Linked DNA regions of Oryzias latipes. The protein of the gene in region 1 interacts with the protein of each later gene in a pairwise test. Links are inferred from orthologs where the notes say so. Each region holds a gene or a part of one and is shown on either strand. Other genes may lie near its edges. The genes, in order: protein-tyrosine kinase 6, htt, F-BAR domain only protein 1, khdrbs2 and exoc5.

Evidence for each region.
Region 2: the proteins of protein-tyrosine kinase 6 (region 1) and htt interact in binary tests that used the Homo sapiens proteins (3 or more experiments, as listed by UniProt). The link is inferred for Oryzias latipes from reciprocal best matches to the Homo sapiens genes PTK6 and HTT.
Region 3: the proteins of protein-tyrosine kinase 6 (region 1) and F-BAR domain only protein 1 interact in binary tests that used the Homo sapiens proteins (3 or more experiments, as listed by UniProt). The two-hybrid records come from large-scale screens. The link is inferred for Oryzias latipes from reciprocal best matches to the Homo sapiens genes PTK6 and FCHO1.
Region 4: the proteins of protein-tyrosine kinase 6 (region 1) and khdrbs2 interact in binary tests that used the Homo sapiens proteins (3 or more experiments, as listed by UniProt). The two-hybrid records come from large-scale screens. The link is inferred for Oryzias latipes from reciprocal best matches to the Homo sapiens genes PTK6 and KHDRBS2.
Region 5: the proteins of protein-tyrosine kinase 6 (region 1) and exoc5 interact in binary tests that used the Homo sapiens proteins (3 or more experiments, as listed by UniProt). The two-hybrid records come from large-scale screens. The link is inferred for Oryzias latipes from reciprocal best matches to the Homo sapiens genes PTK6 and EXOC5.

What each region holds. Positions count from the first base shown.
Region 1 is NC_019865.2:29,675,946-29,682,946, reverse strand, and holds the start of protein-tyrosine kinase 6, read left to right. Parts: upstream 1-3,159; 5' UTR 3,160-3,423; coding exon 3,424-3,794; intron 3,795-7,001. UniProt on the Homo sapiens protein: Non-receptor tyrosine-protein kinase implicated in the regulation of a variety of signaling pathways that control the differentiation and maintenance of normal epithelia, as well as tumor growth.
Region 2 is NC_019859.2:35,171,551-35,177,821, forward strand, and holds part of htt (huntingtin), read right to left. Parts: intron 5,301-6,271; coding exon 5,159-5,300; intron 5,054-5,158; coding exon 4,874-5,053; intron 4,785-4,873; coding exon 4,608-4,784; intron 4,490-4,607; coding exon 4,413-4,489; intron 3,801-4,412; coding exon 3,665-3,800; intron 3,587-3,664; coding exon 3,446-3,586; intron 3,344-3,445; coding exon 3,136-3,343; intron 3,035-3,135; coding exon 2,889-3,034; intron 2,664-2,888; coding exon 2,486-2,663; intron 535-2,485; coding exon 436-534; intron 345-435; coding exon 160-344; intron 71-159; coding exon 1-70.
Region 3 is NC_019862.2:14,990,766-14,997,036, reverse strand, and holds part of F-BAR domain only protein 1, read left to right. Parts: intron 1-3,271; coding exon 3,272-3,346; intron 3,347-4,011; coding exon 4,012-4,153; intron 4,154-4,416; coding exon 4,417-4,569; intron 4,570-5,360; coding exon 5,361-5,465; intron 5,466-6,271. UniProt on the Homo sapiens protein: Functions in an early step of clathrin-mediated endocytosis. Has both a membrane binding/bending activity and the ability to recruit proteins essential to the formation of functional clathrin-coated pits.
Region 4 is NC_019873.2:24,520,001-24,526,271, forward strand, and holds part of khdrbs2 (KH domain-containing, RNA-binding, signal transduction-associated protein 2), read right to left. Parts: intron 4,527-6,271; coding exon 4,410-4,526; intron 1-4,409. UniProt on the Homo sapiens protein: RNA-binding protein that plays a role in the regulation of alternative splicing and influences mRNA splice site selection and exon inclusion. Binds both poly(A) and poly(U) homopolymers. Phosphorylation by PTK6 inhibits its RNA-binding ability.
Region 5 is NC_019880.2:12,940,317-12,946,220, reverse strand, and holds part of exoc5 (exocyst complex component 5), read left to right. Parts: intron 1-745; coding exon 746-893; intron 894-976; coding exon 977-1,171; intron 1,172-2,515; coding exon 2,516-2,580; intron 2,581-2,785; coding exon 2,786-2,814; intron 2,815-2,907; coding exon 2,908-3,017; intron 3,018-3,151; coding exon 3,152-3,196; intron 3,197-3,284; coding exon 3,285-3,425; intron 3,426-3,504; coding exon 3,505-3,587; intron 3,588-3,679; coding exon 3,680-3,889; intron 3,890-4,149; coding exon 4,150-4,297; intron 4,298-4,378; coding exon 4,379-4,487; intron 4,488-4,741; coding exon 4,742-4,862; intron 4,863-4,988; coding exon 4,989-5,075; intron 5,076-5,179; coding exon 5,180-5,288; intron 5,289-5,394; coding exon 5,395-5,610; intron 5,611-5,904. UniProt on the Homo sapiens protein: Component of the exocyst complex involved in the docking of exocytic vesicles with fusion sites on the plasma membrane.

The DNA.
Region 1 (7,001 bases):
ACAAAAATGTGCAGATAATAAGATTTTAAAGGCTCTAAATTTGCTCATATTACCAAAATAAATGTTCCACCTCTCCTGAAGGGCGTTTCAGTTTGGCCACTAGGTGGAGCTCGCGCAATAGCATTATACTTTATTACAGAGGAGTGCTTTAGACCACTAATGGTTACCTTAAAAAGTTTTTCCTCAAAAGAGTTTGGAAAAGTCCTGCCTGTGAGTTTATACAGTGCTCAGCATAAATGAGTACATACTTCTCACAAGGTTAAGTTTTATTGAACACTTCTTAAACTTCATAACATGAAATTAAGGTTAATGATCAAACTTAGATCACATAATCTTCAGTTGTACTTGAGGACAGCACCAAGTCTTCTAGGCATGGAATGAACAAGTTGGCGACATATTGCAACATTTATCTTTGTCCAGTCTTCAAGAAGATCCTGGATCCTGGATGGAAAGTGATGCTCTACTTGTTCTTTAGAATTCTCCACAGGTGTTGGATTGGGTTCAGATCAGGAAACATACTTGGCCATTTGATCACCTTCACCCTGTTTTTCTGCAGAAATGCAGCAGTAGCTTTAGAAATGTGTTTTGGATCATTGTCGTGTTGGTGAAGTGCTCAACGACCAAGTGTATGAGGTGATGGCAGCATCTTGTCCTTCTGTCTAGAGCAGTACATTGTTGAGTTCATGACACCATCAATGAAATACAGCCCCCCCTTCCACACCAGCATCACTCATGCAGGCCACATTAGGACACTGTCACCGCCATGTTTCACTGTAGGAACCATGCATTTCCTTTGAAATTCTCACCTTTATGACGCCATACAGTTTTAAAACCATCAATTCCAAAAAGGTGATTCTTGTCTCATCACTCCAGAGTATTGAGCCCCAGTAGTCTTCATCTTTTTCAGCATGGGGTCTAGCAAATTCTAGGCGTGCTTTATTGTGCATGGGCTTTAGGAAAGCCTTCCTTCATGGACGATAACCATGCATGTCATTCCTCTGCAGTGTGCGCCGTATGGTGTCACAGGAAACAGTCAATCCAGTATGACTTTCTACTGCTTTAGCTTGCTGCAGTGAAGTTGCATGGCGGTCTTCTTTAACTTTTCTCATCAGAAGACGCTCCTGTTGAGAAGTTAGCTTACGTGGACGGCCTGGAACAATATTCTTAACCTGCTGGCGCTGAAGAGTTGCTGGAGTCTGTCCCGGCGACTGTTGGGCAAAGGAGGGATACAGCCTAGACAGGTCGTCAACTTGTGGTCGCCCCCGTCGGATCCCATTACAGCAGCTCGCTATGACCGGCAGCGGAGCATGTTTGCTTGGGCCTCCTAAATCTTATGATTTATTTCATCTTTTCATAAAGACAATTATTAACCTTTTTGCTATCCTAGGCACTTTAACATTCTGAGATGGGTCATCTAGACCCACTAGACAGTGCTCTGAACCTTTTTTCTTCAATGATTTGTGAATCTTATCCCCTTTATCCGCCTTTGTCATTGTAGGAATAACACGTCAATGCAAGGGTGGGATCATCTAAGATAGCAAGAGGGTTAAAAGATTGTCTAGTTGGATTTTTGTTTTTATTTTTTCTCTCCTGAACTAACGTGGGTCACAGAGACACAGAAGTAGCGGAAGAAAGATCCTTTTGCAGCGGGAGACTGAATGAACTCATAAACCCAGACATGGAGAGGTGATTACTGATGGTGCTGCAGATCTTTTTTAAATGAATACATCCACGTCTCTGTAGGATAGTTGCACTTCCATCTTTATTCAATGTTTGGATCACTTTTGCTATGCTATTTTGACTGATATGTAAAGCTTTGCTGATCTTCTTGTAGTCCTCACCTTTCTTGTCCAAATAATTGATTTCCTGTCTCAGATTTTGTGACATTTCTTTTCCATGGGAAGCAATTGCTGACAGCGTGAAATGGGAAGGGCTGTTCTTTGTTAAAGAAATGCCCTTTTCTAGTCACCTGTGTGCTGGACACCTCTTCAATTAATTATTAGACTCGCCTGTGGTTGAATGCATGTTAATTAGAATTTGGTGGTCTTAAGTTTGGCTTTTCTCCTAAGACTATGACTGTAGTGAACTCATGTTTTGCAACATGGGCTTGAATAAATTTGTTTGGAAAATCACTTTTTTGTGTGTGCAAATGATCATATGTTGTTTGTAACCAATGGCCCACCTTTGGAGGTGTATAGTTTAGTATTTCACAGAAAATGTTGATTCTAAAAAAGACACCAAAGGTTTTCTGACTAATGTAGTGGGGATTACTCATTTATGATGAGCACTGTAAAGCTGTTCATTTAGTCACCAATGTTTAGGTCGACTGAGCGTTAGCATTAGCTGTCCTATGGAAAATTCCATTTTACGTTAGCATCAAGCTAGTGGACTTGGGCTTTACTGATGTTATGCGTTAGGTAACCAGAAAAGGAAAGGCATAAAAGATTGATCTCTACTTTTATGGATTGATTATTGATCTATTAAGCTTGGAGCAATTCCGATCAATTAATCGATTTTATCAAACCTGCCTTAGCATCACATGCTTTTACTAAGGCATGTGATTGGTCAGTTTGAAACTTGAATAACTTGCCATAAAAGAACGTCACTAAAAATTGGAGTATGTAGATGTTAAGGAAAAGTTATTCTGACCAACAGAATGACTGAGTATCAGCTGTTTATTTTTCTACAGAAGTCTGTGGGATTTTGGCTTCTTGGAGCCAGCAGAGACTTCCTGTTTGGGATGGGAGGGATGAGGGGTCCTGCTGTTCATATTTATAGTCAATGACTCTGGCACAGTTACGAAGCTTGCCCAGGACAGCATGTAAAGAGGGAATACAATGGTCATGAGAATTTTTAGGATATATAAAAATACTTTTGTTTTCTCAAACATCTGCAGTGCGTCTTACCCTCCGGTGTGCTTTATAAACTGAACATCCCTAAATGGAATCTGTTGGACAATCATTTTTCATTCATCTTAGACTGTTGTTATGTGAAATAATGTGAATTTACTGGAATGATCTGGACTGAAATGCTGGTTTACAACAACTATAACTGATAAAGCTCTTTGAAAACAACCTGACTATGAACTGGCGCCTCATGAATAAACAGAATCAGACGGAATAACCTTTAAAGTGTCTGATTACAATGCCTTTATTTTCAATGGATTATTACAGACTCGCATGAATCCACGCAAAAAGATAAAGGACTTATTGAGACTGAAGTGGTCTGGAGGACCCGGTCTGCCTCTGAGTGCAGCTTTTTGAGTGCTGTGTCAGATCATGCAGGCGGGGTTTTACTGCAGGGATTAAGGAAGTTACAGAGTTCCAGTTTCTGTGAAGCATTTCGAAGGCGCTCCATCACCTCCACCTGCCCGGCTGGTGCAGTGAGTAAGACACTTGCAAGAGCGCGGCCCCGCTGTGATCCATGGGTGAGTGTCTGCGGCGCGCTTTCCCGTGCCTGGGCTCGCTGTGGGACAGGATCTTTAAAGACAAAGAGGCTGCCCCTCATCAAGAAGGTGGAAGCACTAAGGAGGCAGGAGAGCAAGCCTCCGGGTATGCCACAGTGGAGAGCCCCCCAAGCGCGGTCACGGAGAGCGCCATCTACACGGCGCTGTGGTCATTCGAGTCCCGGCATGAGCAGGAGCTGTCCTTCGAGGAGGGGGACCTGTTCCACGTCCTGAACCGCAGCGGAGACTGGTGGACCGCGCAGAGGATCGACAGGACTGGGCGCGTGCTGGACACCGGGATCGTCCCATTCAACTACCTCACGCAGACGGAGAGTCTGCACGTGCAGCCGTGAGTGCACACGGGGCGTCATCCGCGCGCCTTCTCCTCGCTAAACACACAGAAACCGCAGCTTGTTTGCGCTCTGACCGAACACTTCCCGCTCTGCGCGTTCACCACTCACAGTCACAGCCAGGCGCTTTTTCAGTGATGGAGGGTTCTGATGAAACATTAAAAAAAAAACAACAAAAAAAAAAACATCCAACTCCAGATGAACACTAACATCCAGAAGAGTTTTTCTCTCAGTCACAACGTCTATGGTTAAAGCTAGTCCTGCCCAAAAGCAGAACAGGAGCGTCCATAAAACAGCATCACATTCTAGAAAGTATTAGTGGATGAAAAATAACAACGGAATTAATGTATTCAATTCAGATCACTTAGTCTCACATCATAATCAAGAACATCTGATGGAGCTGCACAAAAAAATGCAGAAAAAACACAAAAAAAAACCCTTAGATCCAGAAAAACAAAAACAAAATTTGACTGTTTTTGACTCAGTTCATGGAAGGGGTTGCAGAACTGCATGGTGGTGTAGTGGTTAGCGCTTTCCTCACAGTAAGAAGGCCCTGGTCTGAATCCCAGCTGGGTCCTTTCTGTGTGAAGTTTGCATGTTCTCCTGGTGCATGTGTGTGTTCACCAGGCGCTCAGGTTTTCTCCCACAGTCTACTAACATACTTCATAGTAGGGGGTGTAACAATTCATCGATTAATCAATGAATCCACTTCTGTTTCTACGATCCAACCAGATCAATCTGTCTGAACCAAGTTGTTAATCAAATTGATTTATACCATTATAACATTTTTCAAAATTAAATAAATCAGTTATATTAATATTGGAATAGTAAAACAGTAAGCACAACATTTTTTTACAACCTTAAAACGTTCATCACAGTGGACAACACGTGATGACAGCAAAAACTGATCTGTCCATCATTCCAGTCCAATGTGTGGAAACAATTTGAGTTTAGAAAGTCATGTGACCATCCAGTGTGCTAGAATGTTCTAAGAATGTTCCCTTTGGATTCTTTGGATGTGGAAAAATAACAGTGGACTGAACTTTAGGAAACTAACATGTGAATGGATTTGACATTCATTCTTATTAACTTGTTTGTTTGGACACATGTTTCCTTTACACTTAATGACATTGAAGAAATCCAAGAAAACGTCACCTGTTCTGTTCAGTAGCAGGTATTTCTCTCTGAGTCACACTGGTTGAAGTTTTCCATAAATATGTTTTGGATCAATTTTTAGTTAGTGAATCGGATCATTCAAAATGAACCAATTTTGATTATGAATCTTATCGTCAACCACAAATTATTAATATGAATCAAGTTGGTGATAACATGAATTGCTACGGCCCTACTTCATGTTAATGTGTGTTTGTCTGCGGCCCTGCAACAGACGACCTGTTCAGGGTGTACTTCACCTTCGCCCAACTGTGGCTGGGATAGACTACAGCAACCCCTTTGCCCCAACAGAATTCAGTGGAGTCAGAAATTGGATGAAGAGAAACAGGTGTGGAATATTTAGGAGAGGACAGGAAGGAGAGACAAAGAAAGACACTGATCTCTGCAGGAAGACAGACGGGAGTGGGTGCAACTGAGACAGATACATTTATGGATGCTAAAGACAACAGAAAGGAAAAGTCTACAGAGAAAAATCTGAGGAAAAACATCAGGTTTATTCTGGAGCAACTAGGCTACAGAAGCCTAGCTAGCAGCACTGCTTGTTATTACCATATATTATATTATATTATACATATTACCAGTCGCTTCATCAGGTCCACCTTGCTAGGGATTGGACCCCTTTTGTCTTCACACGACATAAAAACAGTTTCTTTCCCTCGGCAGTCAGACTCATGAAACACTTTTTAATCCCTCCCCCCTTAAACTTTTCACTTATACGTACCTGCACCTTCTTCATCCTCTGTTTACACTGTTTGCACTATTTATTTATATTTATTGTTCTGACCTTTGTGTTGTTTTTTATTTTGCTTACTGTTGTTTTGTTCATTTTTATTCGTAAGTATTGTATGTGGCACATTGGCACCGCAGCAAATTCCTAGTCTGTGAAACTGTTTTGTTCACTGACAATGGCAATAAAAAACCCTTGAATAGGTTGAATAGGTTAATCCTTGGCATCATAGGTCCATAGAAGCCAGGATGGATCCATGCTTTCATGTTGTTGACGCCAAATTCTGACCCTACCATTAGAATGTTGCAGCAGAAATGGAGACTCATCAGATCAGACAATGTTTTTCAAATCTTCTATTGTCCAGTTTTGGTGAGTCTGTGTAAATTGTAGCCTCAGTTTCCTGTTCTTAGCTGACAAACGGGCACCCAGGGTAGTCTTCTGCTGCTGTATGAATGCTCTTCTGTTGACCTCGGTTGGAACCAGTGGTTCTTTGAGTTCCTCTTGTCTTTCTATCAGCTGGAACCAGTCTGGCCATTCTCCTCTGACCTCTGTCATCAACAAGGCATTTCTGCCCACAGAACTGCTGCTCGCTGGATATTTTCTCTTTTCTGGACCATTATCTGTAAACCCTAGAGATGGTTGTGGGTGAAAATCCTATTAGATTAGCAGTTGGCACCAACAACCATGCCACGTTCAAAGTCACTTCAATCATCATTCTTCACCTGTCTACAAGGCTCAATGCCTTGTGTTTTGCTGCCATGTGATTGGCTGGTTAGAAATTTACGTTAACGAGCAGTTGGACAGGTGTGCCTAATAAAGTAGCCCGTAACTGTATTCACAGCAGAGGAGTCATTAATGCAGTCTGCAGGTTAAGAAGCTTCTTGTGTGGAAAGCTTGATGTGTCAGAATGTGAAAATGAAAAAAGTACGTTTGTTGTTTCCAAAACGTTGACCACTTTCCCAGCAAATATTAAAAAAATCAAACATTTCCTTATGACTTTGATCATTTCTCAAAGCAAGAAAAAGCTTTTGCTTTTTGTGATACCAGTAAGTACCTGACTTGTAATAAACTGCACTGATACCAGGAACAGGCTTATAAATCATTGCTTCCTTCTCATCATACTTTATTGTTATGGTATTTTAACTTTATTGCCTTTAGGTCTGAAGGTCAGTCTATGTAGCTGCCAAAAGATATTGACATTTTAAGATTTTTATGAATACACTCTCTAGACTTTTTTACAGAAGTCTAGGTTGGATTTACTGAATAAAAGGAGGAAATTATATTGCATCATTCATTGGCAGTATGG
Region 2 (6,271 bases), on another chromosome or scaffold:
CCACGGGGATCTCTGGCAGCGTGGTGCCAAACTCTCCTCCTGGCTGGGGGGACCAGCCCAGTTTCCAAACCTGCACGAATACGGGGTTTTAGACCGACTGATCCTCTATCGACACTCAAAGGAGCGCGCTCCGCTGCGGCGCTCGGCCTAAACACTGACCAGCGGAGGCACTCGGGTGTAGCTGTTGACCAGCGGCAGCCGGGACAGACTGATGATGATGTTGCGCAACATCGGGGTAACAAAAGCAGGGAACGCAGAGTTCTTGGGGTGACCCAGGCAGAGGACGCTCTGCAGGCCTTCCACCAGCTCCGCCATTATCTCACATGCCCGCCACTCACACGGGTCTGCAAAGAAAAACAAAACAAAAAAAAAACGCTTGGACTCAACAGAAACAACCACATCACGTGAAGTTATTTTCTAAAATCCACATCTCACTTTTGGCACGCCCCGAATGCACATCATCTGCATCAGCGTCTTTGTCCCCCGCCTGTCTTTTCTCTGCATGCAGCAGGCGGTCACCTGGACTCACGGCCACTGCAGAGCAAAGAACACCTTTCAATTCATTTGGAAGACTCCAGATCCATTCCAGGTCAAGGTACCAATAAAGGCACCCGAGTATACCCGTGTACACCAGTGGGGCTGCGACTTCTACTCAGGTGCAACTTATATGTGATTTAATTTTTTTATAAACAGCAGGCTTGTGTTTTCAGTATTTTCTCACTGTCAGCCACTAGAGGGCACTGCAGATGTGTGTTCCAGCATTTGCCACCAGTGTTGCCAGATTGGGCGGGTTTCCGCCCAATTGGGCTTCTTTTGGTTATGTTGGGCGGGTAAAATTGGCATTGGGCGGGTCTATAAAATTTGGGCTGCTTTTCAAAATATTTAGCGGTTTTATTGTCATTATTATTATTTTTCTTATTATTTAAAATATTAAGTAAAAGTATACTAATTAATATATAGCGTAAAAAAAGCATTGTGAATATATGAAACATTACAGTAATCCCCCTGTTTAGTTGGTGGGCGGGTTTTACGATGAGTTTGGGCTGGAAACTGTCGCTCAGATCTGGCAACACTGTTTGCCACCGACAGCAATGCAGAAGAAGAAGCGCCGTCCTCGGCAGTGTTGTTCCAAAGTGACACAGATGAGGAGGAATTTAACGGATTTAGAGACTTAAAGTGATATCAAAAGTTTAGAACTAACTTTTTAACATGTTCTCTATGCAAAGGTGCTCTGAATTAATGCTTATTTGTAGCGCTTGGTAACTTAAACTATAGAAAGGGAACAGTAAACATCGTCTGATTTTTTACAACAAAATATATTACAGTAAAAAAGAAAATGGAATAAATGCGCCTCAACCAGTAAGGTTCTAAAAGTAGGATTGAGTAAATAAAGTTGTTCATTTTCAACATTAATGTAGCTTCTCCAGTACTTTTAAACGGTTCAGGAGCCTGAATGGTGCTTAAAAAGTAAAGAGGGAAAAAAAACACTCATTCTTTGCAGAAACACTAAAGTGATGATGATGAGGCAGCACGAACGGATGAAGGAGACGCTTTAATGTGCCTAAGATGCTTTATTTCCATGACTCTGGCTCTGCAGCTGCAGCTCAGCTTTCTCAAACGTGGAAGTTAACTATGTTCATCGCCATGATGAGCCTTTTTCAGAGCGTTGTACACATCACTCTGACCCATCAGGTCTCTGAACTAGAATCTATTGCTGGGAGGTTCTGTAGAACCGCTTTGCTGTCAGCATTTTGGCTCCGTGCATCAGCCGCTGTGCAGCTGCAGAGTTTCACTCGTTCTCATCTGAGCCGCTATGAAGAGCCGCAATCCTTGTTTTTTTATGTTACTGGCAGCAACATGAGACAGAGTTTCAGTTTGGTACCATCCTAAGTAAAAACTAAGTAGTTCATGTCTCATAACAACGAAACAAGCTGCCTCTGGCTGCAGGCTTCCTGTTGTTCTAATGTGGTGTAGAGCTGCTCAAAGATGCTCCGTGTTCTCTGCTGCCAACTAGTGGTTGGAGGTTGAAGTGGAAAACGAGAGTCAGACGCTGAAGGACGCTCAGAAATAATTCAATAAATGTCGTCCTGACAGCATTTGGAATCAATACAAGTATCGCCAAATGAACTATCGCGATGTATCGCCAAAATGATTTTTCCGAACACCCTTCCTAAATACGGTTACGGTAGTGAAGCGTGCATAATATGTTCAGTCCTATATTGTCAGTTATTATGATTTGACTTTCAAGATGAAATGTCCATTCTTGGTCTTGTACTTTGCTAAATATATATCTCCTAATAGTGTTACTTATACATATTTTTATTGTTTATTATACATGTTTTGGCGTCTGAAAAATACGATGACTAATAGGCAGGACCTAAAAATTCAGACATAACTGGAGCCTTTGGGTAAACATCTGTTGGTCTACAGTGATTCCCTTCATTTGTGATTGGGGCGGAGTTAGCAGCTGTCATTGGTGGCATACCTGCAACAATAATGAGGCGTAGGCAGTAGACGAGGGAGCAGGTTTGGGTGGTGTACTCCGGGGTGGAGAGCTTGTTCCAGACACAGGGCTGCTGCAGGGACAGACACAGACAGGACAGGGCCCACTGCAGGTCCACACTCAGGGGCAGCTGGTCGTGGAGCAGGCGCCACGCCACAACCTGGGCGCCAGATTCCACACGGAGGAGAGAAAAATGGGGAAAAGGCTTTCAAATGTGGAGCAAGAGTGTCCAACACTTTGACCTCCCGTATCACATATTTGGGAGCTAATGTGAAGAAACTCATGAGGAAGAGAAGATGCTGAAAAACTAGCGACCGCTCGGCTGTGGGGTGACAAAACAACATGCTCAGCGTGGAGGTGCATCTCAGACATGCCGTCCTTTTACCTCTGTGGCAGTGCAGGTGAAGGTGGTGATGAGGTGCTCCTTGTCAGAAGGAATTTGCAGTGATGAAGGCAGCTGGCCCACTTTCAGTAAATACTGGGACAGCGCTCTGCACAGCGCCAAAACCCTGGAGTAGAAACCTGGTTTGTCTGCGACAGTGACAGACCAAAAAAAAACAAAAAAACAGGTCCTGAAGTCAAGAAACCAGCAAAAAAACAGACCGAACTCACACTTCCCCTTTAAGACTCACCGTACAGATCAGCCAGCTGCTCCCAGTAAGGCTGGGGTTCAGGTGGAGGCAGGAAGGACTGGTGTGGAACAGGAAGTGACCCGGTGACCTCTGCCAGCTGATCTAGTGTGACCTGCAAGGTCGTCTCCAACAAAAGTGGGCCCTGGCCTCGTGCCAACCTCTGAACCCCCACGCTCACGGATGGACACAACAGGCCGAGGTTGAAATCCTGAGAAGAAGCAGTTTCACATCTCAACAGCCAAGCTGCACCCTAAAAACTGTGCCATGAAAACCCAAACTGCCGTTGAGCCCTTTCGATTTCTGTTCGTACCTTGCGGCTCATGGTGTTTAACAGCTCGGCAGAAGGTAGTTTAGTGAGGAGCTCTGTCGTCTCGGACAGGGAAACATCTCCACGAAGACCACACTGGGACTTCACCAGAGCCACGTACCATTCCTGAACGCAAGACAAATACTGGAGATACAACCTTCCTATTCGTCTTTTCCTTCAAAAGAAACAAAAAAAAAAAAAAAAAAAAAAAAATCAACCCACCTTATCAGCGACAACCTGCTCAGGGGAAGGGGGTGGATTTCCATCCAATGGGTGTGATGTCACTGGAGGGGTGGGGCTCCTGCTGTTGGCAACGGTTGCTCTGAACCTGTCCAGCAGGGAGTAGAACCTCTGATGCCTGTAGAGGACCACAGAGAGGGTAACAGAAAGAAAATCTGTATTTGAAATGCGTAAATATTTACTGATAGGCTGTCTAACACACACACACACTTATGTCTGTATGAAAAACAATGACAAACTAATTTCCAATATGGCTGCACAGATGGAGTCCTAAATTAGTGCAAGAGTCTGTCGACACGGGACAGACACGGGAACAAACACGGGACAGACACGGGAACAAACACGGAAGAGATACGGGGCAGACACGGGGCAGACAAGGGACAGACACGGGACAGACACGGGACGAACACGGGACGAACACGGGACAGACACGGGACAGACACGGGACGAACACGGGACAGACACGGGACAGACACGGGACAAACACAACACAGACACTGGACAAACACGGGACAAACCCGGCACAGAAACTGGACAAACACGGGACAAACACGGGACGGACACTGGGCCAACACGGGACAAACACGGCACAGACACGGGTCAGATTGTAGAAAGAATAGTGGGGACCCGACCCCCAAATGCACCCAGAAACTCTTTTTACTTCTTAAGCGCCACAGAAACCTAAGATTGCAGTTCAAATGTAAAAATGGAGACAAAAGAGAAGGAAAACCTTTGAGCCAGTCCACTGGTCTGGAGGTATTCCTGGATCCTGTCCAGTTCCTCCACAGGTAGCTGGGCTATACTGTTCTATCGGGTGGAAAAGAAAAAGCAGGTTGAAAGACAAACACGTCATAAATGCATTTGTTCCTCAGACTGAACGTTTTCCCCGAAGCTTCAGTAAAGAAAAAAATGATACGTTTTCTACCTGGAGAGTCTCAGCCAGCAGCATCTCCACTCTGCGACACGCCAGTGTGTCCACCATGCGAGCCAGAACCCTGAAAGGTGTATCCAGCAGTTTGTCCACGTACAGCATCAGCAGAGATCCAGACTGACTGAGGTGGATCCCCTCCAAACACTGCAGAGTCTTCTTCAACGTGGTGGGCTGCAGAAGGAGAGCAACCGCAAGAAGAAAAGTCATCTGGGACGGAAAATAAGAGATTGATGTAAACCTAAAGGTTAGGATCATCTTACAGCAGTGAGGTTGTCACAGCGGGACTGGATGGCCTGGATGAAGAGGCCGCTGGCGGCTGAGTTGCGGTGGACAGCGCTGATGAAATCCTGAACTGGAGGCTCATGGGAGAGGGCGATGAGGTCACGCACGTGATTGACAATCAGCCAAGTCAGATGCTCCGAGTCATGAAGGTTCTGGCACTGAGCGTAGAAGCATAACATCAAGAGAATTTTCCTTGTTTCCAACATTCGAACATCACCGTCACACGTTATTCAGACGCTCTGTGTGCAGTCAGGCCTCCTCACCACGTAGTCACAGAAGAGGATTAAGGCTCCACTGCGTACGATCTCTCTGTTCACCACGGCTAACCGCGACTCGCAGCTTTCCTCTTCGCCCTCTCCAGAGGAGTGGGAGCTCAGTAGCTTGGTGGAGGAGAGGCTGTGGCGTCTGAGGAGGAGAAGAAGAAAAGCCTTTGATGTTTGGAGACGACATTTCAAAAAACCCTCCCCTTTAATGCTTCTGCTGTATATTTGGGAGCAGTAATCCAACACATGCGGTCTGCAGAAGACCAATATTTAATGAGAATATTGCTGGTGGGAGGGAATTGGTTATAACCAGATGTTACAACATTAGATGATTGGTATAAGACTACACATGACATTTATGTTATGGAAAGTCTGACATTTGCAATAAAGGGGCATACAGCTAAAGGCTAGAAATGGTGGGCAAAATGGGTCAAATATATTGGACCTCTTAGACCAGATCCTACTTTAATTTCAGTAAAATACTTCTTTACTACAGGATAACAGATAAGAATGCAAGTTTGATTTTGTCTTGGAGGATGAGTAAGATTGACAGCCGTTCTGTCCTTTGTTCCTAAAAAAAAAAAGGGGGGGAAGAGTACAAAATGATGAACACGCATTCTGGATTACTGACTGAACATATTCATGATGTAAAATTATGTGTAACCTAGAAACAATGTGATAGTGGTGTGAATGTTGATACTCCTGTCAAAAAATAGAATATAAATAAATAAAATAAAATTGGGAACTCTGGAAAGAACTCCTATATGGGGAACAGCTCCCAGAACTAAAAAAAAGAAAACCTCTTAATTCTCTTTGCGGCAGAAGATCGGTCTTCTAATCTTTCCGCACAACTGAATGAAACAGGAAAAAACTGAGGAGCTCACATATCAGAGCAAAGACGTGTTTAAACACCTCATAATGATGTTTTACCCATCTTTTCTCTCCCGGACTGCAAGGAAGGACCAGATTGTTTTCACGATTCTTCTTTCTTTGCCTTTGAGCAAAACATGTGACCCCTGCCACATCCTCAAAAACTCACCAACATTTGTACACATCTCATATTTAATATATTTTCATTTGATCTTTATTTATCCAGGCAAAACAGACAACAAC
Region 3 (6,271 bases), on another chromosome or scaffold:
TCTTTAGTTTTTAGACCATAAGATCTAACTTGTTTAAAGTGAAATGCTTATTATTTAAGGCAGAAACAATGTTAAGCTTTCCTAGAAATTGCAGACATAGGTTTCCTCAGATCCACTTTCTTCTAACTGTAACATTTCCAAGAATACTATTGAGTCCTAAAAATGTCAAAGTTTGATGTTTGCCCTTGACAGAGACAAAAGGAAACTGAATACAAGCAATGAGCAATGAGTACTCAAGTCTGTTTAATTTTCTAAAATGAAAAAAGAAAAACTAGATCCTGCATATAAGAATTCATGCAAATATGTTGTCCTCCTCTGACCCTGCTCAATTATTTTAATGAATATCTTTAAAAATTCACACAATACAAGGTATTGGTCAGTTCAAATATAAGCATCCCTGTGTAGTCTGAGATTGTCAGGGACAGTAACTCTTGGATTTCATCAAATTGGATTGGCTCCTGATGTGTCTGTTACTTTTCTTTGTTGAACAATCAAGTCGTTTTGGCTCCTAACAGCTGCAGCTTCTCAACAAAAACGTGTAATATCAGGGTACAAACACTGAATAGTTTTTATCAAAGGTAGATCAGTCAGTATTGATTCATCAGGTTCATCAACTGATTTTCTTTTAAAATAATTCTTGTATTTTATTATTTTGCAAAACAACTACTTTCAGTTTTTTTTAATAAGAATTCATCTTTTAATAGATACAAGATTCACTTTTTTTCAGTTTTCATCAAGAGTAATGGAAAAAGTGTTCTCTGTAACCAAATAAAATTTGATTCATACTAAATATATAATAAATTGTTAATTAAGTTGTGAGTTGATTTATGAAATTGCCAGAGATGCTTAGCCTCAGTGTGTGAAGAATTAACCTGCAGAAAGATTTTTTTAATGCAAATAGGCAAAATAATTGTATAAAACAAAATAACCTGGAAAAGCCTGTTTTTCAAATTTTACATATTTACTGAGATGATAGCTGAAACTTGCAGTAACTTTTTTTGATCATTTCATATAGCTGCACACTCAGTCCTGTGATAATTTGATTTGGGGGCGACAGTGGCTCAGGTGGTTGAGCGGGTCGTCCAATGATCGAAGGGTCAGCGGTTCGATCCCCGCTCCCACCAGCCAAAATGTCGTTGTGTCCTTGGGCAAGACACTTCACCCTCCTTGCCTCCAGTGTGGCTCCACTGGTGTGTGAATGCGCATGAATGATCCCGGTGATGGTCAGAGGGGCCGTAGGCGCGAACTAGCAGCCACGCCTCTGTCAGTCTGCCCCAGGGCAGCTGTGGCTACAACCGTTGCTACCATCACCAAGTAAGAATGAGGAGTGAATGAATTATGAACACAATGTAAGCACTTTGGGTGTCTTGAAAAGCGCAGATAAATCCATTATTATTTTATTATTATAAGAAGACTGATTTGAATTTTCCTTTACATGTACACAACCTGCTTTAGAGTTTTCTGAATCCGTCAGTTCATGCTGTGATAGTCTTCCACAAACATCCTATGGAGACAATAAACTTGCTCTTTTAGAAAATTAGGTGCCCCTCACATACTGTACCTGAAGATCTTGCTGTTTATTGAGATCAGCAGACTTTAATTTAGCCTTTTACCAACACACAATATTGGATTATTCTTAAACTAATAAACTAGTTTATTTTTGTCCTGTTCATTTAATTCTGTTTTCTTTACAAACTTCAGATCTTTGTCACAAAATCAAGTATAGTTAGAAATATTCGAGCTGGAGGTAGCAGAGCTGAAGATGGTAAGGTTCTCTTTGGGAGTGAGAATCAGGAGTGAAAACATCAGAGGAACAGATAATGTTAGATGCTTTCGACATTTGGACATGTTGAGAGTAGGGACACTGACTCTGCGGGGAAAAGGAGGCTTAAGAGACCAAGAGGAAGACCAAAAAGGAGGTTCAGGATGTAGTGAAGGAGGACATGAGGGTGGTTGTTGTGAGTCAGGAGGATCCAGTGGACAGAGTTGGATGGAGGTGGATGATTCGCTGCAAAAACCTCTATAGGAAGCTGCTGAAAGACAAAAAAAATGACAAAAATACCAAGAAAACATGACTGCACAAGTTCAAAATAATTCTAACATTAGTTATTTTTTTAATTTAGTCTATATTTGACAAAACATTTGTTTCTTCAAAAGCAATTACAAGATGAAGCGTCTCCTAAAGTCATTCTGTGTTGTATTAAGGACTTAACAGAGCAGTGAAGTGTGTGAGTGTCCTCCATCAATGCAACTTTAAAGTTGCATTGATGGAGGACACTTGTGCCCTTTCCTCATGGTGGATAAAATTCACTAGAGCAGAAAACAGATCCGGGATCAGGAAATGAAAAAAGCTGCGGGCTAAAATATTGGTATTCTGCAGGATGGACACATACACACAATGTCATATTACTTGCTGGAGTTAATATTTCTTTTTATAAATCCTTATCTGTGGGTCTATGCGGCAAAGAGACTTATTTGACCTCCCTGAAGATGAAAAGGCAATTTTTTTTTAATAATTAGTTTGACTAAAACATGGTTTGGGTATTTATATTGCACCACAGGACAAAATGTTAAAATCTAAATAAAAAAGACCATTTTTAATAAACTAGAAGCATATTTCTCAGTTTTTACTCTTCTGTTTATAAACGGATCAGAAATGCTTCGTTATGAGTAGCTCTGTTTTTTTTTTTTTTTTTGGTGAAGAAAGGTTTTTGCCCATTGCGTTTTTTGTTTTAACTGCACAATATAGTGAATGAAAGTGTCTCCCTGCTTACTTTGTAAACATGTCATTGTAGCTAAAAGGTTCATCCTCTTGTGTTGGTTAACGTCACTGAATTTTGAGTTACAACTAAAGAAAATATATTCACATTCCCTTACGATTTTGTTCATTGGCGTAACATACAGTTTGGTTTTTAACTGTGAATTTTGGCATCCCTGTTGACCTCTAAAAATACAAAGTGAACTAAATACAAGAAAGTTGCAAGTTTGTTTGTTTTTTTTACCCTCAGGCAGGTTGGATCAGTGCTTCTCCGTTCTATTTCCTTCGGGTCTACAGATGGTTGTGTTAAGTTTCATGATAGGGTTTACAAAAACTGGATCTGTTTATCATTTAAATGCAGCTTTTTGCACAATGTACCCAAACCTATCTTTTCCATTTATTGCCTTCCTGTCTGGATTTTTAGCATCCTTGATTTCCTCCTGGCTCAAAGTGACTCCCCTGATAGTTCTGCTTGTGTTGATGTTTGTTTGTATGTGGGTGTGTGTTTTACAGGGCAGCCATTGAGGAGACTTACTCGAAATCAATGAGCAAACTGGCAAAAATGGCGAGCAATGGGAGTCCACAGGGGTGAGTGACAGAAGAGCCTTCACTTTTCTCATGCTTCCTCTCTCTCTGTTCACTATTGCCCAGGAGGTGGTGTTGTTTTATAATTATTGATGTAATGTTCAGATGGCTGTGTATGAGATATGTATGAGTACCATCTGCAATACCAAATGTTCATACATATGATTAGAAGAACATATTGCCTTCTATTTAGCCTATTTGCGTCGAGTCACATGTTGCATCAGTTGTGTGAAGCAAACTGACGTAGGAACACAAAAGCAGGACGTGAGAAATTAGATCACTTGATTCCTGCAAATTAGAAAACCTTGCTCTGTGCTTTTTAATCTACATGCGTTTGCAAGCACTAATCCATTTTAAATGTCCTAATGTCCTAAAAAAATCATTTACTTTTATTAGTAAGATATTCTATTTAACCCATTATATTCATCAGAGGTGTTGTTGAATATATAACTGTCCCCTCTGACATAAGTGCTGTATTTTTGTTTTGCTACATAACATTGCATCCTGAGAAAGTGTAACATTGCGTCCTTTTTTATAAGTGTATGTCATTTGAATGATAGACAAAAAAGTCCAAACAGAGGAGGTCTGCAAAATATTTTTGTTATTTTTTCTTAAACTTAAAACTATTTGGTTTGAACTTTTGTCTTTTATTTGACAATGTTTTTCAGGACGTTTGCACCCATGTGGGATGTATTCAGGGTGTCCTCCGACAAAGTGGCTCTCTGCCACCTCGAACTCATGAAAAAGATGAACGATCTCATCCGGGAAATAAACAAATACGGAGAGGAGCAGGTCAAAATACACCGAAAGGTATAATTCTTGAGAAAAACCCATCCACTCCGGCTGTCTTAACCAAAAAGTGTCTGTTGTCAGTGTATCCCGCTGTAGACTTTCTCCTCTCTTGCTTTGCATCAAGCCTTTCCCATCCTGATCTAATCTGTTTCTCAGAAAATCCAATTACTGACCCCGCTCTTAAAGTCATTTTTACATTTGCCCTCCAAGTATAAAAGCACAGTGACGATTTGTGTGGCGTCAAGTCCCCTATTCTGAATGTGCGTGCGCTTACCATCCAGACGAAAGAGAAGATGGTGGGGACCGTGGAGGCAGTGCAGGCTCTGCAGGTTCAGAGCAGTCACCTTCAGAAGTCAAAAGAGGGTTACCACGGCAAATGTTTGGAGTTGGACCGGCTCAGAAAGGAGGGGGCACCACAGAAAGAACTGGAGAAGGTTGGATGCCACTTTGAAGATTTCTTTAGTGTGAATTCTGTACAACATTGATTCTCTTGACAGAAAATCACACAAGTTTTGTTTTCAAAACGTCGGCAAAAGCTACTTACCCACACTCATCCATTGTGTTATTAGCTCATAATTCTGCCTGTGTCTAGACCATTGACCAGATTCACAGAGATACAGATTCATACAGATTCGTAGAGTATTTGCAATGGGCTCCAACAGTTTTTTGCTTTGTGGTTGACTCCTTCTCGCCAGGCCACAAGGTCACTTAACCCCGACCTTCCGGAAAAGGTCAAATATGTGGAACAAACAGGCCTGACGGATGTTAAATCACGGCCAGGAGGTCATTCAAAGCTTTGGATTTGACTGCCACTTGTCAATTAAGAGTGTACCTTCAGAATGTGCAGAATTACTGTCAAAATTAAGAAAAAATTGAACTTTAGATAATCTCTTATAGTGTTCTCGTAGAAATAAAATCTACAAATAGAGATGAAAAAATTCATCAAAGATTGACTGTAACAAGACCCCCTAGTGGCTATTTGGAGAACTGCTTCAGTCACTTTCCACATAATTCAGTTTAATGGTGTAACGTACATTTCAGTTTTCAACAGACAGTTGTGACATCTCTAGTAATGGCTCTATATCAAAATTCATTCTGTGTGCTGCATGTCTACAGATAAATCAGATCTGTTTATTCTGTTAGTGTGGTCTTTAATTTTATTTCAGGTGACTGGATGAGAGGACCTTAAAGGGCATTATTAACGTATCTCTTCTCCTCTCACTAGGCGGAGCTGAAGTCAAAGAAAGCGGCTGAATCGTTTGCATTGTGTATCGAGAAATACAACCGTGTGGGAGGAGAATTTGAGCAGAAAATGAGCGAGTCCGCTCAGGTCAGGTTTGACTCCAGCTGGACCAGAAGTCTCTCCTCTGATGTGGGATTTTATGTCATGGGATTCCTCCTCCAGAGTTCCCTGACTCACCGTCTCTGCCGCCTCCCACCATCTTATCCACTCTTTTATTGCATTACATCCCACCCTCCTTGAAAAAGAGGAAACCTCATCCTCTGACTCCCAAACCCACCTACTCGCACACACATCCTGCAACCTGTTCATTACCTTTAATCACTGTCTCCATGCTTCCATGGTTACCGCTCTGTTTCCATAGAAATCGTCCACAAACACCGATCAGAGTTTCTGTGTTTTATTTTGAAACGATGAATGAACTCGTAACCATTAAATCTTGTACCAGCCCTGAAGGAGGGGGGTTTAAGTGTCATGATGAGGGAAGATGTTACGCTTGGGAAGTAAATCATGCCGCAAGTCGTATGTTGAAGTAAAAAACATATTTGTTTATTTTCTGATCAAATAGATAAAATAGATGGTACAAATTTGAGGTACCTGGTACGTGTCTGTCCAATGTCACACGAAAGACGGCTGGGAAGCTTAGAATTTGAAATTATTTATTTATTTATTTTACTAGTGGATCACTCCCCCCAAAAAGTTGTAGTAATAATAATAATTTGGTATTCACAGTTCTAGGACTATTCCCTACTAACAGTCCCGCCCACAAGAGAGGCGTTCTGCAGAAACTATGTCCTAGAAAATGACTGTTTTTTTGCTTTTGGCTTAAACAGCGTAATCATAATTAAGACCACTGGGAACATGTATAAAATAGATCAAAAGATGACTGAGTGGGA
Region 4 (6,271 bases), on another chromosome or scaffold:
CATTCATGCGCTTTCATAAAGCAGATCGGTCCTTGTCCTTGCATCACAAAACTGTTTCCCTCCTCTGGGAGAGGTTGCTGTTAATTAAATAGTAGCAGCACCTCAGCACTCTTTACTTGCTCGGTCAGGTAGTTATAGATTAGCTCAAAACTTGCACCTCCATGTTTTCCTTGTAGTTGCACTTTGCTGCAGACTTTTTGCACATGCAAAGCTTCTTTGTAGCTTAGAACAGCAAAAGGTTTGTCTGTTCAGTGAACTGAAGCATTTTAGTCACACGCAGCTTAAGAGAATTTAGGAAAATGCAAAAGAAAAATAAATTTCCCTTATCTTCTTTGGTTTAATTAGGTTTAAACAAACATTACTTTGTTCCTGTGGCAAACTGGTGTTAAACACAACATGAGTTTTTATTATCTTTTTGGGATGTGGTTGTAATTTTTCAGAGACAGGCAGAGCGGGGTGCTAACAGGGTTGTGATTGTAGCCCAATTTTAGAGTAATAAAAAGTGTTTTCTAACATCCCAGGGGTAAACAGGTGTTTGCCATCATAGCTGGCATTTAGAAGACTTTTCTAATTGTTGTTTTTTAACTACACGCTAGCCTTTAATGAATCTTCATCACTAACGAGTGACAGTAATTAAAGTAGGGAGTGGAGTTTTAAAACATCAGTGGATGATGTTAATTTATGACAGCCAACTAATTAATAGTAATGTTTCTGATCTGAGGATAAGTCTGAGGATAAGAGCAGAACACAACAGGATTTATTGCATCCTCCTCCTATCTGTAGGTCAGGGCTGACATTGTTTTCAAATCACAAACACTTGCAAACATTTGCCCTGACACATCTGTGTCACTGAAGTGCTATTAAAAATGTACAACTGTGTGCCTCAGCATCTTAACCTGATTACTTCTGCACCAAGTGGGCCAAACAAAAGGCTGTTGGGCTGTTTTCCATATGAATTTTCCAAAGCTGAAATCTGAGCATCCTGCTAGATGGACGTAGCCTCTCGAGGATTTGAACCTGGCTCCAGAAACCTGAGTTGATGATGTGTTTTTGCTTGTAATTGAACTCTGGATGTGTCTTTTCGGTGCTGCTGCATTGCCAGCTGGCTCGAACAGCAGTAAACCTCTCACTCGTGACCTCTGGGTGTCAGTCTCATCACAAAACCTTCAGGCTAGTTCGGATGCTGCTCCAGATCAATAAAACAAACTGAAAACTCTAAGCCAAAACAGTATGTTGCTACTGCTGATAAAAACTGAGTGTCAATGTGTTAGCCTGAACACAAATTGATATGCAGGAGATGAATAAAGTCATAAAAACTGTGCTCTTATTTTAAAATGATCTGTTGAACAGAATTGAGTTATGTTTAAGTGCAGAAAAAAAAACAATAGGCTTTTTACTTTGAGTTGTCAAGAAATATACAATATATATAATAATATTAAACTGCATGATATTGTCTTTTTGCATAAATTGTTTTTTGTGGTAAGAAAATTATGAAGTATAAATGCAGTGATACACTGACAGGTTCACTCCTGACCACAAACAAAAGTAAATATATTGGTCACATTACATTTTTTTGCCCTTTGAAATTTTTGTAAACTTGATTTCAGTACTAATTTAATACTTGGTTTGCAATTGTATTACTTTCAATAAAAAGTAATAAATCAAAGGGGAACATTTTTAAGGATCATTGACTTTAGTTGAGGTTTCTTGTTTATTTTTTGTTTTATTTTGGTTGTGAAAAATTGTGTTTTGGGTTTTGCTTAAATAAAAATACTTAAATTATACTAGAAAATTTCATATGTTGTTTTATTAGAAGAGAATGGTTTGCTTTACAGCTAGAAAAGGTAATACATCCTCTTGTATTTTAGTTAAACTAAGCTGCACGCATTTCTACAGCACTCTGAAACTGCAGCAGTAAAGTTTGCATCATTAAGTCAAAGTGAAGTCAGTGTCAGTGTCATCCTGTTGTTTTGTTGCTAAAATAATATTTGGCAGTTAATGAATTTTTTTTATAAATTAATTCAATTTCTTGTATGAAATTTATCAAGCAATTATGAGTAGAGAATAACTGATTTGTATAGGGGAAAAAAGTAGCCAAACTTTAAGTACTGATGATACTTAACCCTACGATTCCATGTTTCTGTTGACTTTTGCTGACTTGAGGAAAAGCACAAATGATATATACATAAATAAATAATCTAAGTATTTGTGATTAGGTTGAAATATGATATGTTAAATGTACAAATGTAAGCGTGTGATTTTGGCCTTAAAGTAATTCAACTTTAAAAAAAACTTTGAAATTTCTTGAGCTTTTTTTTATTTTCATTATTTCAATTTAAACTTTTTTTATTTCTCAGGGACACAGCAGATTAAAAGCTTTCCATGCAATGAGCCTGAATTAGCTAAGTGGTTGTTTTTCATCTCCGGACAGATTTAAAAATTGTCTACCTAAAAAGCTAAAATACACCAATTAAAGACATATTTTAAAATCACAAAAAAAGTTATTTTAAAAATTAACACTCTTTTATGTTCACAAGTTGCAGGTTTTGTCCTAAATGCTTTCCAGTAAAATTGATGACCCATTTCTGAAGGTGCTGTATGGATAGAAAATAGTCAGATTTGTGATTGTCTGATCCTCGATTTGTAACTCCTACAATACATCTTGTACATCACGGTATACTTGAAAAAGTGGGAAAAATGTCAAGTTTCTACTAGATATTATTCACAATCTGAGTTCAAAGTGGCTAATTAGGAAAACTCTGATGACCTAGCATTTTAGCAGCATTTAAATGCATCATCTATGGACAAATCCGGAGGTGTGAAAAGAGTCTCACAGCCTGTCCTGCACCTGTAACTCCAATTGGTGTGTAAATATGGTTTTGTGTGCGTGTATCAGGCATTCAGTGCTTACTATTTAAAGATTTCTATGCATAGGAGCTGTGGTTAGTTTTAAGCGGAAATTTCAAGTTGTTTTCTATTTGTGTGCTTTTGATATTTGTTTGTATGTGAATACACAGTTACACACAAAATGTTTTGTATGAATTGAAAAACAAGTATTATGCACACACAAATCTAGTGAGACTATTTTTTCTACATAGCACAGCTGCATGAACAGTGTTAACTTCCATCTTATACACTTGCCTTATACAACGCTTACTCTGCATTGCTTGTGGTCAGGGTCAGAAAGTATCTTCCTTAAAATTATGTTTGAATTGTTTGGAAGCCGAACAACTGGAATATCAATGGCAGTGTAAAGAAAACAGGCAGAAGCATACAGTGCTAATCCACAATGAATGAGGTTTTCCTGCATACAAATCAAAGGGGAACATTTTTAAGGATCATTGACTTTAGTTGAGGTTTCTTGTTTATTTTTTGTTTTATTTTGGTTGTGAAAAATTGTGTTTTGGGTTTTGCTCCTCCCTCATATCACATTCACACCACGAGTTTTCATTCATCACATCTAGTTTTAGCTTGCTAATTACTGTCAGTGTTTTTAAAAAGCTCTTAGGATTTGGGATTTAATTAGGGATCCTCTTTTTTAAACCTGCCATTATTTTTGATTTAGTCAAGTTCCAATCCAGTTTGGTGTTTTAAATGATATTTTAGTTATTTAGTGATTTAACATTGTCCTCTTTTGTTTTATTTTGCCAACCACAGTTATGAAGGATGGCAAAGTTGGACAAAAATGATAAGCAGTAAGACAAGAAAAACGCCACAATTTTTGCTTTGCAGTTTAAATGACAGAAAATACATGAAAAAGATAACTTCAAATGTATCTGATAACCATACTTCCTTAGTCAACACTCACTTTAACCCCTCATTTCATTGTTGATTTTTTTCTCTAAAATAATCAATTACATCATTTTTAAAGCTGCAATAAATTCCCTCTATTATGTTATCATCTGCCTCTGCTTGACATATTGAAACATAGCTAAAGTTTCACTGAAGAGCTGGTAACTCTGCACTTCTTTTTCATGTCAAGATGTCCAAATCAGAGATTACAGTAATAATAGCAACGCAAATCAATATCGCTTCTCCAACAACTGTTATAGTCTTTGACTCAGAAAAGCTGTCTGTGCTCACTTTTTAGCTTCAGGGGATCCCAAGTCAGAGAGATAAATGACTCAGGCAGAGAGATCAATTACTTTGCATTCATAATTGACTATTACAGAAGATGCTATTAAACAAGACGAAAAAAAAACACACTACAGTTTTGCCTACATGTATTTGTCAAGTGGAAGCTATTAATTCTTGTGAACATTGCTGATCTCAGTCACTCCTCAGTGGTTTCGTGGAAATATTCCTCCGTGCTTTGGCGGAATCCTTTTATTTCTATGAAGACTTCTCTTGGAGGAACACATGAGAGTGCGAAGAAAAACATTTTTACAACACAAATCAATATATCTCACCTTTTCTTTATCCCTCATAGACCCTTTGCCAAGGATGGACATCTTCACTCCCGTCTCCTCTTGTAATCTTTTCATAGAATTTCCCCGTGGTCCCAGCAGCTTCCCCACAAAGTTAAACTATGACATAAAAGGGATTTGGGGAAGTTATTTGTACTGCCAGCGTTAAGGTAGAACACCAATCATATTTTGAAAAACAAATACTTCCAAATTTGTTAGCAGCATGCAGGAATTCAGACGTTCTGGGAAAAAGGTTAAACATAAAAGACACCTTCCATCTAATAGTCAGTTATTGAAAGAATAATCTCATGTTCCACTTGCTGCTCATCATGAGGTAAACCTGTAATGCAACCAGTAATAAATCAATATCATTGCACTTGTGTTTAGCACATTAAAGGTGAATGTTCTCATCTGCGTTTCAGAATGACACATGTGTCTCTTTCTAGCTCGGGCTGCACCCTTGACACCTGTGCATTCTATTGACATTTGGGATCATCTGATTGGATTCAAAAAGGGGGGAGGAAAAAGAAAGAGAGCATGGACCCATACTAATAACGCTGCTGAAACATCGCTGAGACGGTTCCAGAGGTCAGTGCTGAGATAAAGTCAGAAATAATGAGTTTCTTCCCAGTGGGAAATTAAGTAATACTATCCAGATGACAAACCATCAGATTCACGCCTCAGGGTTCTGACTATCATTTCTCTCTCACCGTGCACCAGCTAGTGTTCATATTGAGAAAAGTATCGCAGTGGGTTGATACTGGCAGCATACCCCCAAGATTAACAGTGATTAATCCAAACAGTAAAACACATAGCTATAGTCAAATGTGTCATTTTAAAGAAAATATGGAAGCACACAAAGAAAGTCTATAAATGTATTCTAGCTTACCAAAGCATGTTCAATAATTAGGGTCAGATCCTTCTATTGTGATTTTTTTTTTTTTTTTTTTTTTGCATGGTCCACCTTCAGAGCTGAACAGGTGGTCATCTGCCCACTACAGCACACTCAGCCCAGCCCTTAAATCACATTAACCTTTCCAGAAAGCTCCCACTCCCACTGAGCCTGAGCAGCTAATAACTAACTGCCAGCTGCGCCTGCCTGCTGCAATTCAACGCCTCAAAGTGCACGCTCATCTTATTTCATTAACATCACAAAAGAAATCTGAAACCAGGCCTAAACATTTGATGAAACAAACAAACAAAAAAAAAAAACGGACAAAAAATACCAAGCAAGGGCAAGGTCATCACTGTCCTTGACCGTCCTCTAACTGATGAAGGCACCTTTATATAGATGCCTTCTCACTAGAGCAGCTATGACAGGACTCTTGGAGCTGGCAGGGAGCTGGAGAGCAGATGGCTGCTGCAGCAGCTCAGGATTGGGAGCATCAGGAAGGCGCTCGCTGGGTGATAGAAGAAGAGTGGCCTGTTTTCATTAAGCTAATGAATGTCTGGAGCCTCTCTGCTACTCCACGGTGAGCAATTTGAGCTTCAGACAGGGGTAAAGTTTTGTGTTAAATGAGGTTTGAAATGGTGCTGGGTACCCCCTACAGTCTCCACAGGGATAACTGTACAGACTTTAAATGGAAGGGTGATGCGAATGTTGCAACTGTTCACAAAGCCATTTGAAAAAAAACAAGTTTTATTACAAAAAACAGGGTGCTGATTTATTTAATTTACTTTGACTATTTTTTTTCAGGAGGAAACAACTTTAACTTTAAAAAAAAAAGTTATGTTCTGATGGTAAATGAGAGGTGGAAGTTGATTTAAATTGAATTAATTTAAATTTGACGCTAAAGGAACTAAGCTCTCGCCCCAAAACATGGTTGAGGTGAGAAACGTAATCAGTATGAAAACAGAACAACAAA
Region 5 (5,904 bases), on another chromosome or scaffold:
ACTTTCCTTCAGTTTAGTTAAACTTAAATTGGGCTTCCCAGCACCAATTTAGAGTTTTGATGGTTTTAAGAAAACTATGTAATGACTATGTTTACTTATCCTTAGTGTGTGTGTTTTTTTTCCAGTGTGGTTATGATGTTTACACTTGGGAGCATAGTTGTTTCTCGTAAGCAAAACTGCCATAACAATTTAACTCTGCTGTAGACCCGTCCTGACTTATCTACTTCCAACACAAACTGTTTTTACCACTTCTTTGAAAGCTCTCAGTGAAGAGTCAGAGACAACATCTCTTTCGAGGCCACCATACTGTGAGTCACCAGCCAGGGAATGAGTGTCTGTTGGGAGCGGATGGGAGACGTCTAAGCTGTAGCTAGTGCTGAAGGAATTAGAAGATTATACACTCATCGTTTCAGGATGTTTCCCACTCTCTGAAAAGTGGTGCTGACTTAGAACATTTGCACCGCAATCCTAATGGCACTTAAAATGCAGCTGACGAAGCTGAGAGTTTTTTTTAGAGCTTCTTAAGTCTAGGGACCCATGAATTAAGTATTTGACACTATTTTGTACCCCTAAACTGTAACTATACACCAAGTATTACCTTCTGATACCCAATTACTTCTTGAATTAGGGGGATTCGTGCATGTTTTTCAGTTTTTTTGTTTGTTTTTGTTATTTAATTGTGATGTGTTTTTTTTTACCCAATTATAGTATTTTTAATTTTTCTTCCTACTCTTCCTTCCTTTAGGCTGTTGGATGAATTTAAAAGCCACATTGAAGAATTAAAGCAGTTAGATGAGAAGATTCAGCGAAAGGTGGAAAAGCTAGAGGATCAGTGTCATGGAGAGGCCAAGGACTTTGCCCGCAAAGTGCAAGACCTCCAGAGGAGTAACCAGGTCTGTTTGCTGAAAGAAAACAACATCGTACAAACTTTATTCTCTTTGGTTAACCGCTAGATCTTCGTTTTGTGTCATGTCAGGTGGCCTTTCAGCATTTCCAAGAACTCGATGAACACATAAGCTACGTTGCCACCAAGGTTTGTCACCTAGGTGACCAGCTGGAGGGGGTGAATACTCCTCGCCAGAGGGCCGTGGAAGCTCAGCGTCTCATGACTTACTTTAACGAGTTTTTGGATGGAGATCTGCGTAGCGATGTTTTCAATGACCCAGACAAGGTGAGATTATCGTCTAGTTTCTTTTTTTTTTTTTTTTTTGCTGTCATATATGAAGAGGTATGTGTGGGTGTGAAACCACTGATGAGGGGCCCTGCTGGGAAACTGCTGTAGGTGAGTTTGAACAGGATTATGAGTTGAACCATCCATGGAAATTTATAAAGTTTATCCCTTTAGTTGGATCCCTCAGTTAATTTGGATTAATAAACTGTCATTTGCTGTCTGACAATAGCCGGCTGACTGACTAGCATGGATGTCAACACGCTCATGTCAAACCTAATTGCATGTAAAGTGGGATGACTGGGATCAAGAATTTGATTGGTCAGCTTTGCAACACACAGAAAGTTTGTTGCAACACATTTTTTTAGTCATGGAAAAAATGATTCAATGTTTTCTCAGAACAAGTGACCCCAGAGAGTTTGATTCTGCAAAGTAGACACATTGGGGTTTTTTTTGGGTTTTATGTGTGTTTGATGCAACATCTCAACCAGATGCAGAGAGGGAGGTTTGAGGGTCAATCCCACAGACGAGAGCTTGAGATTGAGCCATGCATGCAGATGTATCAAGCCAGATTCCTTTTTCCTGAGCATACCTCCATATGAGGAGGAAAGAGAAAAACTGCAAGTGAATAGCTGAAGGGGAATGGCTTTGCTAATCCTTCTGAAAGGGAGGGCTGGGCCGCCAGCGTGGAGACAAGTGCTGCTAAACCCTGACTGCAGGGAGACGGCTACATTACTTACATGGGATTTAGCTAATCTTAGCTGGGGGACAGATACTTAGAAAACCTTCGCCGAGCAGAAAGGCTGGATCCTCCTCACGGGAGCAGAGTAATGATGTTAGCTGAGACAGGCATCTGCAGGAACAGAGGAGTTGCGGACAGCGGACCTTTTGCGGGTCTGGAGGTTTTTTCGCCAGCATGTATGTCAGGAGAGGTGGAGAGGGCGGGGTGGAGGGGTATCTCGGCAGGGCCCCCTTTTTTTTAGACAGATATCCCTGGCCGGACAGATTATTGAAGGCAATTCAGACTCCTGTGGGATTACAGCCCATTCAGGAAAAAGCCATCCCAATAAAGACTTGGATGTGCTGCTAAGTCAGGACTGCTGCTGTTGCTGCTGCTGATGCCCAGGTGAGCGCAGCCTGTCTGTTATCAGCTCCCTGTTAAACACAGGAAGGTGGAGGAAGGCTGCTCTAAGATGATGATCCCCCAAGTGGAGACACTGCCGGCGGCCGCCCACTTGATAATGGATGTCCACCTCTAATGGCTTTGTTGTGCTCCCTCTCTCCTCCTCCCTCAGCTGGCATCTCCCTCGCTCCCTCTCAAACACACACTTGTTCCCTCTCTTTCAGATTAAGGAAGCTGCTGATATAATTCAGAAGCTGCATCTCATTGCCCAGGAGCTGCCATTTGACAGGTGAGTCAGGCATCCTGGAGGCAGCTTTAGACAAGAGCGCTGTCAAACAAGAAGGAGGAGGTGTATTAGTCTATTCCTGAAAAGTGTAAGCCCCACAGAAACATTAAGCATTAGATGGTATTATTGACTAAGATGCCCCCAAAGAAACTTTCCTTCTGTTTTTTTTATATCTATTGTTTCTAATTGCGCACTTTATCTGTAACAGATTTGCAGATGTCAAAGCAAAAATTGCAAGTAAGTTTCTGACCGGGTCGATCGTCCTCCATTTTTACTACGATGTAACACGCGTTTGCGACATTTTAAGGTTCTGTTTTCATTCCTGCCCAGGCAAATACCACGACCTGGAGAGGCAGTTAATCCAGGAGTTTACTGCAGCCCAGCGCAGGGGTGAGATTGGTCGTATGCGGGAGGTTGCAGCAGTTCTATTACATTTCAAGGTGACCTGGAAAAGACATCTGAAGACACGTTGACTGAGTGTTGGAGTCATAGCCTGTCTGAAAACATCAACTTTGAATGTTATAGTCATTTTCTTGGACTATCAAGGTGGTAACGCCTGTGTTTGTCTAAATAGGGTTATGCACACTGCGTGGACGTCTACATCAAGCAGTGTCAGGAAGTGAGTACTTCAAGTTTGGCAAGAAAAAAGTCTGCCTTTGACTTGGCTGCTTTAATTGACCCATTTTTTGTTGTTGTTCCTGTCTCAGGGTGCCTACACGAGGAACGATGTGTTTGAAGACACCGCAGCGCTTTGCCAGAGGGTCAACAAGCAGGTGGCCGAGGTCTTCAGCAGTCCAGAGACAGTCATGGCTAAACTCATCCAGAATATCTTTGAAAACAAACTACAGGTATGTTTTCCAGTGATTGAGTTTGGATGTGCCATTACTTAAACATTTGTTGATTTTTGGCTGGCTGTTTATTTTACAGGCGCACGTTAGAGAGAAACTGGATGGAACTCGACAGTCTGATGCAGAACAGTACCTCAAAAACCTCTATGACCTTTACACCAGGTGGTTTTGCTTGTCTTTTTCTAATTTACTTCCTGTATGCTCTATAACTCTAACACTTTTTGTTCTTATCTGTTTCTTTTCTGACCTTTCAGGACCACAGCATTGGCTACCAAGCTAACAGAGTTCAACCTTGGTTCAGACAAGCATACGTTCCTTTCCAAGCTGATAAAAAGCATCTTTTCCTCTTATTTGGAAAGTTACATTGACATGGAAAGGGAATACCTTCGTAATCGAGGTGCCATGATTCTGCAACGATACTATGACTCAAAGAATCACCAGAAACGTGCAATAGGCTCTGGCAGGTACGATTTAGCATAAACGTCATGAAGCATTTCAGAATCAGAAATACTTTATTGATCCCATACGTGGGAAATTTGTTCGTTACCATAACAACTGACAGGAGAAAAGACTAAGAATAATATAATTAATAATATAATTTAAAAAAAAAACAAGAACAAGGAAAATGTGGTATCATTTAAAGAGCCATTTTTGGTCTCAAATAAACGTTAGGGTTTCATACAAAAAGATCAAAATGCTAAACGTTTTTTTGTTTTTACTTTAGTATTCAGGAGCTCAAGGAGCGCATCAGACAGCGCACCAACCTTCCACTGGGCCCCAGCCTTGACACCCATGGAGAGACCTTCCTGTCCCCCGAGCTGGTTGTTAATCTGCTGCAGGAGACTCGGCACGCGTTTGAGAGGTGTCACAGGGTGAGCCTCTTCTCCTTCTGTAACGTGAAGGAACATGTATAAACGCAGACTTTGGTGATTTTTTGTTTTGTTTTATTACAGCTTTCAGATCCATCTGATCTGCCTAAAAATGCCTACTCCATCTTCCTACTGCTGGTTGAACATCTGTGTGTGGACCACATCGACTACGCTCTGGAGATTGGCCTTTCAGGTACTTCTGATGAACCAAATTGTACTCTTAAACTGCTTTCTGAGGGCTCATTCTTCTCACTATTAGGAGCTTCAAAGCAGTAGATTCAGGAAGTTGGGACATTAAATAAAGCATAACCTGAGGATCTCCCACAATAATGAAGAGCTAGAAACATTTTAGAGCTAGAATCTCTTTTTCACTAGCCGATAAGCATTAACATTTAATGATCAATATAGCTTAAGTTTGCGTTTGCTGCATTTTTCCTAAATTTTCAGCGATTCCCTCATCCGATGCCAAGAATGCCAACCTGTACTTCCTGGATGTTGTTCAACAGGCAAACTCCATCTTCCACTTGTTTGACAAGCAGTTTAATGACCAGCTGATGCCTCTTATAAGGTCAGTTGTGGTTAAGAATTATCATCTTTGTTTGTTATGCATACTCAGATTTCAAATTACCTTATTTATTTATTTATTTATTTTTGGGGGGGTTCTTTGAATTAAATTTTCTAAACCTGTCTTCAGTTCATCTCCAAAGCTGGCAGAGTGCTTGCAGAAGAAGAAAGAAGTGATCGAACAGATGGAAGTAAAACTGGACACTGGAATTGACAGGTGATTCTTTTTATTTATTTATTTTTTAAGCCATTGATCAACTTTTTTGTTTTTTATTTTGTTTTTTAACAGAAACCAATAATATATGTTTTTGTTATGCACAGAACACTAAACTGTATGGTGGGGCAAATGAAGCACATCCTGGCAACAGAGCAGAAAAAAACAGATTTCCGGCCCGAGGATGAAAACAATGTCATGATCCAGTACACCACAGTAAGAGATGCTTAGCTCGCACGCAGAACAAACAACGCATTGGATGCAATTCATAAAAATCACTTCCAGACTTTTTCCCAACTAGTTCTTCTCGTTTCCCTGACAGGCCTGCTCAAAGGTCTGCGCATACGTCAGTCGGCAGGTGGAGCACGTGCGCAAGTCCATGGATGGGAAAAACGTGGACACGGTGCTGACGGAGTTGGGGGTTCGGTTTCATCGACTCATTCACGAGCATCTACAGCAGTTCAGCTACAGCTCAATGGGCGGCATGCTGGCCATCTGTGACGTGGCTGAATACCGCAGATGCGCCAAGAATTTCAGGGTAATCTGTGACAAAAGGTCAATGTGTCTTTTGTGACTGACTGCATAAACTCTTTCTGTTATACTAATAATTATACCTAATTATTACTTTCACCATCATTTTGGTATGATGATTTCACAGCTGCTTCCTTGATTAAAAAAAAGTAAGATTGATCTGAATGCCTGATTGTTTTCATTTTGATTGTTAATTTCTTTTTTAAATGAAGCAATGAATTTTTGTTGAAACCATAATTCATATTGAGAACATCATACTTAATAATAAATGGATGAATTACCTATCAAGGTTTCTTGTCAT